Linked DNA regions of Pelodiscus sinensis. The protein of the gene in region 2 interacts with the protein of the main gene of each other region in a biochemical or structural test. Links are inferred from orthologs where the notes say so. Each region holds a gene or a part of one and is shown on either strand. Other genes may lie near its edges.

Evidence for each region. The genes of interacting proteins can lie anywhere in the genome.
Region 1: the proteins of ERBB4 (region 2) and YAP1 form a complex in vitro, tested with the Homo sapiens proteins (2 studies listed by BioGRID and IntAct, with this or other methods). The link is inferred for Pelodiscus sinensis from reciprocal best matches to the Homo sapiens genes ERBB4 and YAP1.

Annotation. Positions count from the first base shown.
Region 1 is NC_134711.1:304,440,503-304,444,320, reverse strand, and holds the start of YAP1 (transcriptional coactivator YAP1), read right to left. Parts: upstream 2,420-3,818; 5' UTR 1,961-2,419; coding exon 1,676-1,960; intron 1-1,675. UniProt on the Homo sapiens protein: Transcriptional regulator with dual roles as a coactivator and corepressor. Critical downstream regulatory target in the Hippo signaling pathway, crucial for organ size control and tumor suppression by restricting proliferation and promoting apoptosis.
Region 2 is NC_134717.1:59,548,675-59,552,274, forward strand, and holds the start of ERBB4 (receptor tyrosine-protein kinase erbB-4), read right to left. Parts: upstream 2,623-3,600; 5' UTR 2,277-2,622; coding exon 2,192-2,276; intron 1-2,191. UniProt on the Homo sapiens protein: Tyrosine-protein kinase that plays an essential role as cell surface receptor for neuregulins and EGF family members and regulates development of the heart, the central nervous system and the mammary gland, gene transcription, cell proliferation, differentiation, migration and apoptosis.

The sequences.
Region 1 (3,818 bases), on a different chromosome or scaffold from region 2:
CCAAATCTGAGTTTAATAATGGAAATATTGACAGGCCCTTAACTACAGGAATACCAGATACCTGTGAAATACACAGCACATCTCTTTTTTGACTATCTAGATAAAGTGACACCATCTTATAATATCTTACTTTATAACTTATCAGCTAAATTCATTGCTTAGCAAAAACATACGAGAGGCAGTTTACAGAAATTTAGTAACAGCAGCCTAAACATTAACTTTTAGTCATATCTGTATCAGCATTTTCGTCTTGGCAGAGTCAAATTCCTTAAAGAACAGACTCTGCTACGGACTTATAATGGGGCCAATCCTGCAGATCTTTTTCATCTTGTACTAAAAACTTGCAGGATTGTACCCTGGGGCTGTGTCTACATCGGCGCAATCTTGTGCAAATACTCTTTAACGCAAGGGTTCTTGCATTAAAGTAGTTGCGCAAGAGAGCGTCTACACTGGCATGTGCCTTTGCACAAGAGATGTGCTTTTGCGCAAGAGCATCCTTGCCAGTGTAGACGCTCTCTTGTGCAAGAAAGCTCCGGGCTTTCTTGAGCAAGAAATTCATGTTGCCTATCTACACTGGTGTCTTGCGCAAGAACAGTTGCACAAGAGGGCTTATTCCTGAGCGGGAGCATCATAGTTCTTGCACAAGAAGCACGGATTTCACACATTAGAACGTTCAGTGTTCTTGCGCAAGAACTCCCCGCCAGTGTAGACAGGCAGCATGTTTTTGCATAAAAGTGGCTGCTTTGGCGCAAGATCGTGCCAATGTAGACAAAGCGTGAGTGTTCAGATTACAGGACTGCAGCAGCTAAATTATTTCAATTCAATTTGCAGATATGGTTAATTTACTGATACTTCAGCAAAGTGAAAGGCCTACGACCAGGGACAGAAAAACCCATGGGCACTAGAATTAGTTTCTGCTGTGGGAAATTCAATCCTATGGAGTCCAATAATGAAATGGTGGAAAAACCACATCCAGATTGTTTTTTTTTTTTAAGTTTGGCAACAATTCCTCACTCCCTCTCCACGCAAATAAACAAACTATTTGACTATTACATTAGAGAACCAAATCCTTTTGTTTTTTCGAGTGAAACATTTTTAGGAATAATTTTAGGGCCGTTAATTCTCTCCCCCCCCCCCCCTCCCCACACGCTGGGAAACAAGAGTGCAATTATTGGGCTCCCAAGTAAGGTAGCTGGGGAGTGAGAGCCCCTGGCGGAGACAGGGCCTAATGTGAGTGCAAAAATCAGCTGCTGAGACTGGTAACTCCTGCGCCGAACTAAATGTAAAGTTTCCAAAGTAAAATCCCGAAGGGTCCCAAAAATAGGCACAAAGAAGCGAGCACCCCCGTCATAAAAGGGCAAGGGAGCTGCCCCACAAGACTCCAAGGGGCGAGCTCCCCGGCAAACCCCGAGTGCAAGGGGGCCCTGCCCCCACCCATGAGGGGGCGCTCACTCCTCCCCACGAGTGGGGGCTGAAGAGATCCCACACACGACGGGGGCCGAAGGACAGACCACCCCCTCCCCGCACACAGGAGGAGGAGGGCGTTCCCCGCCCCACACACACAGGAGGAGGAGAAGGGGCGACTGAAGGGGACGCTCTCCGATATCCCCCCCAACACACACGCCCCGGCGCGCCCCGCCCCCACCCACGAGAGGCGGGAGAGTCCCCCCCTCACCTGGCGGGAGTGGGCCTTGGGCTCGGGCGGCTTGAAGAAGGAGTCGGGCAGCTTGCGGAGCCGCATGGGCAGCGTGTGCGGCACGTTGGCGCCTTTGGGGTTCATCACCGCGTTGAAAAGCGCCTCCAGATCGGTCTCCGAGTCGCCCCGCACATGCACGATCTGGTGCCCGGCCGGAGGAGGCCCCGCGCCCGGGGGCTGCCCCGCGCCAGACTGGGCTCCTGGCGGCTGCGGCGCTTGCTGCTGCGCTGAAGGCTGCGCTTGCTGAGGCTGCCCGGGATCCATGACTCCGCGTCCGTACCGGGGCTCAGCGACTCAGATCCCGGGCTCTCCACCCCACATACCCTATTGCCCTGCCGGTGCTCCTTCTGCTGCTCTGCCCCCCACGCCCAGCAGCACCAACGGGCAAAACAAGCCCGACCTAGCAGCAACTTCCCGGAGCCCGGCCCACCCCTCTGTCCCGGCGGCGGAAACTAACTCGCACAACTCGCTAAACAAAAGTTCTGAGATGTGCCCGCCCGAATCACTCCCAGCCAGCTCCGCCCCTCGCGGAGCCCGCCCGCACCGTTTCCTGCAGCCAACTTTTAGTCCTACTGCGCCCGCCCGCTCAGAATCCAGTCACAGCCGGGTACCACTATCACTGGCAGTTCTTTATGCGCCCGTCCGCATAGAATCTGGCAGTCAGCGGCCGCCACCAAGTCGCGAGCAAACTTCCTCTCGCGCAACATCCCGGAGAGCCAGCCCTTTCGCAACCGCCCGCCTCATTTTTTAATCCTCTACTCCCGCCCGCCACGCTGCCCTTCAATGCTGAAGTCCATGCATCGAAAAGTTTAAAATAAATTCCTCCAAACTTCCAGCCTCCTGCTGCGCCCCTCCCCCCGCGACCTCCGCGCTGGAATGGGGAGGGAGAAAGACGCTTTATCCCCAGAACGGGGAGGGGGTCGGCGGAGACTTTTCCCAGCCATGGCCCCCGGGAGAGGGAGGGAGAGGCGAGGGCCTCCTCCCCTGAATGCGGGCGGGAGAAACGTGGCTTCTCACTGCTTCCCATTCTATCCACGGAATTAGATAGAGGTGGGGAGGGGGAATCGGAGAAGAAAGAAATTGGATCTCTGGTCTCCATAGGGGGTGGGGAGAGCTGAAACCCTCCTTCTCACAAGGGAACCTAACCGCACCCTCCAAGTACCACTATGGAGACTAATTTTAACGACTAAAGTGGCGTTTCTGGTAGGGTAAATTATACAGTTACATTCAAAACAGATTTTTCTCTAGTCAGAGCTTACTATGGGGATTGATCACCTTTCTGATATAGAGTCCAATGGAAACAATTCAGTCAATTTAACTTACTATACACCCACTCGAGGTTGATTCAACATGCTGCTTAATACATACCTGTAAGCCTATAACACAACTATTATTTATTAACTAATTATATAAAATAAAATGTTAACATTTTTGAAAAAAGATGGAGAATAACAGTTTTAATGTTTGAGGATTTTGAAACACAACAGGTAACAATGTGGGGGTGGGGAAAGCAAGATTAATGGATCCTTTTGAGTTCTATGCAAGTTACTGCAAGCCGCATTCAGATAATATGATGCACTCACTATGGCCCCAATCCTAGATTTATGCACAATTAGTTTCATTGACTTCTAAGGGGCTAAGTAAAAGTATGTACAAGCATTAGGGTTTGCAGGATCTGAATCTTACAATTTAAAATCAATGTAACAAAGCTTTTAAAAACATTTTATATGTAATTATAATTTGTGAACATAAAACATCCCTTGATAATAATTCAAAAAAACTATGTTAAATGTATATTGTAGGTCACATTTTTGTGTAGGCAGGCAATGTATATTTCATTGAAGGGAATGGAACTATGAAAGTGTTAATTGATTCCATACAGAAAGAAGAGCTCCTCCATTCCATTATACCACTAATATATAGAACTGGAGATTAAGAATAGTCACTTAAAAAATAAGCCTCCACCAAAAGAATGGTACAATACATGAATATGTCGTTTCAGGGGATCCACAATCAAGTAGGCAAATGTCTGTTCATGGCTATTGGTTGAAGGATAGCACATACCATCATCATCCTGAGGAGAGGAAAATTCTAGTATTAACAACAAACTATATATATACTA
Region 2 (3,600 bases):
GCACTATGAAAGGAGTTTAAGGAAATTTTGCACTGTGTATTTTTCATAAACATGTAGTCACCGTGAAGGAAAAATGTACATTTAAGGCTTTTGTTTTCATCTTTCAAGGTCATTACATTTTTTAATAAATTGGTTAAACAGGAATCCAACTATGTAGGTTTACCTGGCAATAATTGGAAACATTGAAAAATATATGGGGAAACCCTTATTTATATGCCTCGGGACAGACCCAGGTTAAACAGCGTAACACACTTTGTGGACTTGGAACCGCTGCTTGCTTCTGTCTAGGAGTGTGTTTATGTTTCCCTTTTGCAGAATAAATGAACGATATACTAACACTTTCTTGTAAATCACACATGAACACCAATACAGAGTTACTTCCCAGGAATTGTTCTGCTGGGGGATATAACACTGACATCGGAAACGTAAACGGTAGTATAATGTATCGTCTCTAGGGATGCTACGGGACACCCCTTTTAAATATCTTACAAGTTGACTCATAGATGCACCCCTGCAATTTTAAAGGGGAAAAATTGAAACAAGACTTCCTACAGGTTTCTTTGAAGAGACAGAACCACACGTCTAATGATTTGTACTGGGGAGGGGGGAGAAATCAATATTTCTATTCTATTCACATAAACCAGTAAATAAGGTGCATTCCTTCTGCTTCTTAAGACATTAGCATTTCAAAAATATGCCACTTTCCCCTGAACTCCAAGCGTGTCTAATAATGCGAGAAGCAGATTGTCTCCCTCGTTTCCTTAATTTGTTTCATCTAAAAGCAATTCACACAACATCTTGTCGCCCTCTGGCAGCTTAGTTTACTTATCCGCACTTAATTTCTCATTTGGACCAAAACAAACTCCTCCAAACTGCTACTGACGGGGGAACGCTCAATACGGATATACTTGGGGAGAGCACACAAAAACGAACAGACAAATCATTGGCTTTGGTAGTTAGACCGAAATTAAGGGGATCTCTTTCCCCACCCCTCCCTGCACGCAGAATTGTTGCAATTTCTCAGCCGCAACCGTCTTTCGAGTCAAAGAAATCCACGAACTAGCTTTCCTCGCCCCTCCTCGCGCATCCTGGCTCGCCTGGTGTCTGAAAAACCCGAGCTTGGCTTTTGTGACACCAGCCTTGTCCAACATACACTCATCACATCCCACTGACTCGGACGGATTCGCGCGCGACGGGGACCCTACGGGAGGAGGCGGCGGCGCCGCGGGACTAATCTGGGGGGATATTCCGTGCCGGGGAATCCCGAGAGGGGCTTGCAAAGGAGAGTCCCCCCCAAGGAGCGCGGTTGAAAGCAGAGGGAAAACGCTGTAGGTTGCCCCACAGATATTCCGCCCGGCCAAGCGCACGCTGCTTTGGAAGGGGGGGGGGGGGCGCATGCACCGCCAGGTGGAAGGGGGTCTGCAGGGGCTCGAAGGGCACCCCAGGCTCGCACGCCGCGGGTCCGACCCCGCAGCCAGCCGATGCGTGCCCGCAGCACGGTGCGCGCACAAACGCAGGGGAACCCAGCCGCGTCTGGCAGGCTGCACGGGAGGAGAGCGACACGGACCCGTCCAGCCCACCTCGCCCCGCGTTCACCGGGGGGGGGCACCCTAGAGGATGGGCTTAAAGCCCGAGCGTTTTGACTCGGCTCAAAGTCTGAGCGGGGCAGCCGATTCCCGGGGTCACACGCGTCGGGGGGGGGGGGGGGGGTGAAGATGCCGCCAACCCTTGCACCAAGATGCCGGGCTGGGTTGTTCCCCGCTGCCCGCGTGCCGAGTTCATCCCGGGACCGGGGCCAAGAGCAGCTCAACAACTCCACAAAGTCCTCCGGGAGCCACGCAACGGGAGTGTTACGGGGGGGGGGGGGGGGGCTGTGCCTGGCTCCACAGCAGCCTGCCAGGGGAGCGCCTAACGCAGAAGGGGGAGGTTAACCTAGGAGCCCTGCATGCCGGGGAGGCCAGACCCCCTCCCGCCAGCGCTGCGCAGGGCGCCCGGGGCCGCACGCAGGTGGGGCAGCGAAGCGCCCGTCAAGCCGCCAGCTCCTAGAGGAGCCGTCCCGGCCCGCGGCACCGCAGCGTCCCCCCCGGAGCGGCCGCAGCTGGACCCCGGCTGCCCCAGCAAGGCCCCCCCCGCGCAGGGTCACACTTCAAGGGGGGGGTCGTCAAACCGGCTCGGCGTCGCGGCCACCCACCTGCCTGCGCCGCGCCGGGCTGCAGGGCGCCGGAGACCAGCAGGCAGCCGAGCCAGCACAGGAGCCCAGCGGCCGGCGGCTTCATGGCTGGCGGAGGGTCGGGCGGCGCGCTCACATGGTCCCCACGGGCAGCTCCCCCCGCGGCCGGGCGCGGGGCACCGGCGGCTTCTTCCCCACTCGGCCCGCAACAAGTGGCTCCCCCGGCTCCACTTTCTTTTTTCAGGGGGGGTTGGTTGGCGGTGCCCCTCCCCTTGCTGCTCCTGCTGCTTCTGCTCCGCTCGCGGGTCCCGGCGCTGCAGGGCTGCCGCCCGGGAGCCCCCCTCGCCTCCGCTCCCCGGCTGCTGCGCGCCGCCGCCGCCCCCCCAAATAATCCCGCACCGAGCGGCGGGGCAGGCTGGAGCGAGACACACACACCGCCGAGGCCCCGCCCCCTCTGGGCACAAGCCCCGCCCCGCCCGCCGCCGGCGGGGCCCGGCTCACTCCCCCCACGCGCGGCCCGGGAACACCTGTCACGCGCGCTTGGCGGGCGGCGCGAGCCCTGCCCCGGGTTAGCCGTAAGGGGGTGATATGCACTGGGCGCCCGCCGTGCCCCGGAGACGCGGCTTTGCAGTGGCCTGCCCATGGGCTCGCTGCGGGGGGTGTCCCGCGGCTGGGGGGTGCTGTGCTGCCCTTGTTTCTTCCTGCTCCGTGCAAGCGCGGCTGGGGGTTGCTTTCCCCTCCTTTGCAATCAGCGGTTGCACCTGGCTGAGCGCGGGAAGGGGTGGGGGACACAGGCACGCTGCCTTTTCCAAGCAGGCACCCCCCCCCCTTGCATTGGATCTAGGGGGGTTGTCCACACACACGCACCCAGCTGCATCGCCGCAGACAGGCTGGACCGCTGGCAATCCCGCAGCTTGCGGAGGCTTTTCCCAAACGCAGCTGGGTCCGCTTTGCAGCGTTTTCCGGGCAGCCCCTGCTGTGGCAGGCGGCGAGGAGCGTGAAGGGTTCGCTCCTGATCTCCCTCACACACACACACCCGCGCGCGCTCTGCAAGGGAGCAGACTGTCCACACGCAGCTTCTCACTCTGGCTGCTGATTGCCCGGGGCGGGGGCAGCTCAGAGAGGCTGCAGGTGGCTGGGTTCCCTTTCAGGTGGCATCATTTAAACAAGAGCCGTGTCTGCCGCGCCTATGACTCAGTTCGACATATGGGATTGCTCCCAAAATAATCCGAAGGGTGTTTTGCTTTGCTTTTGTTACTAAAGCAGCAAGGCAGGAGCTATTCTGGACTGAGGCTGCTGCCAGTGGAGGCTAATTAAAGTAATCTAGAGTATCTGTACCCCTGAGGTTTATCCTTGAGAGGAGCTGTTCCAAAGAGCAGGCGGCTTGCTGGGAACAGCCTGGCGACGTATAGACTGGCATGATTTTCCGC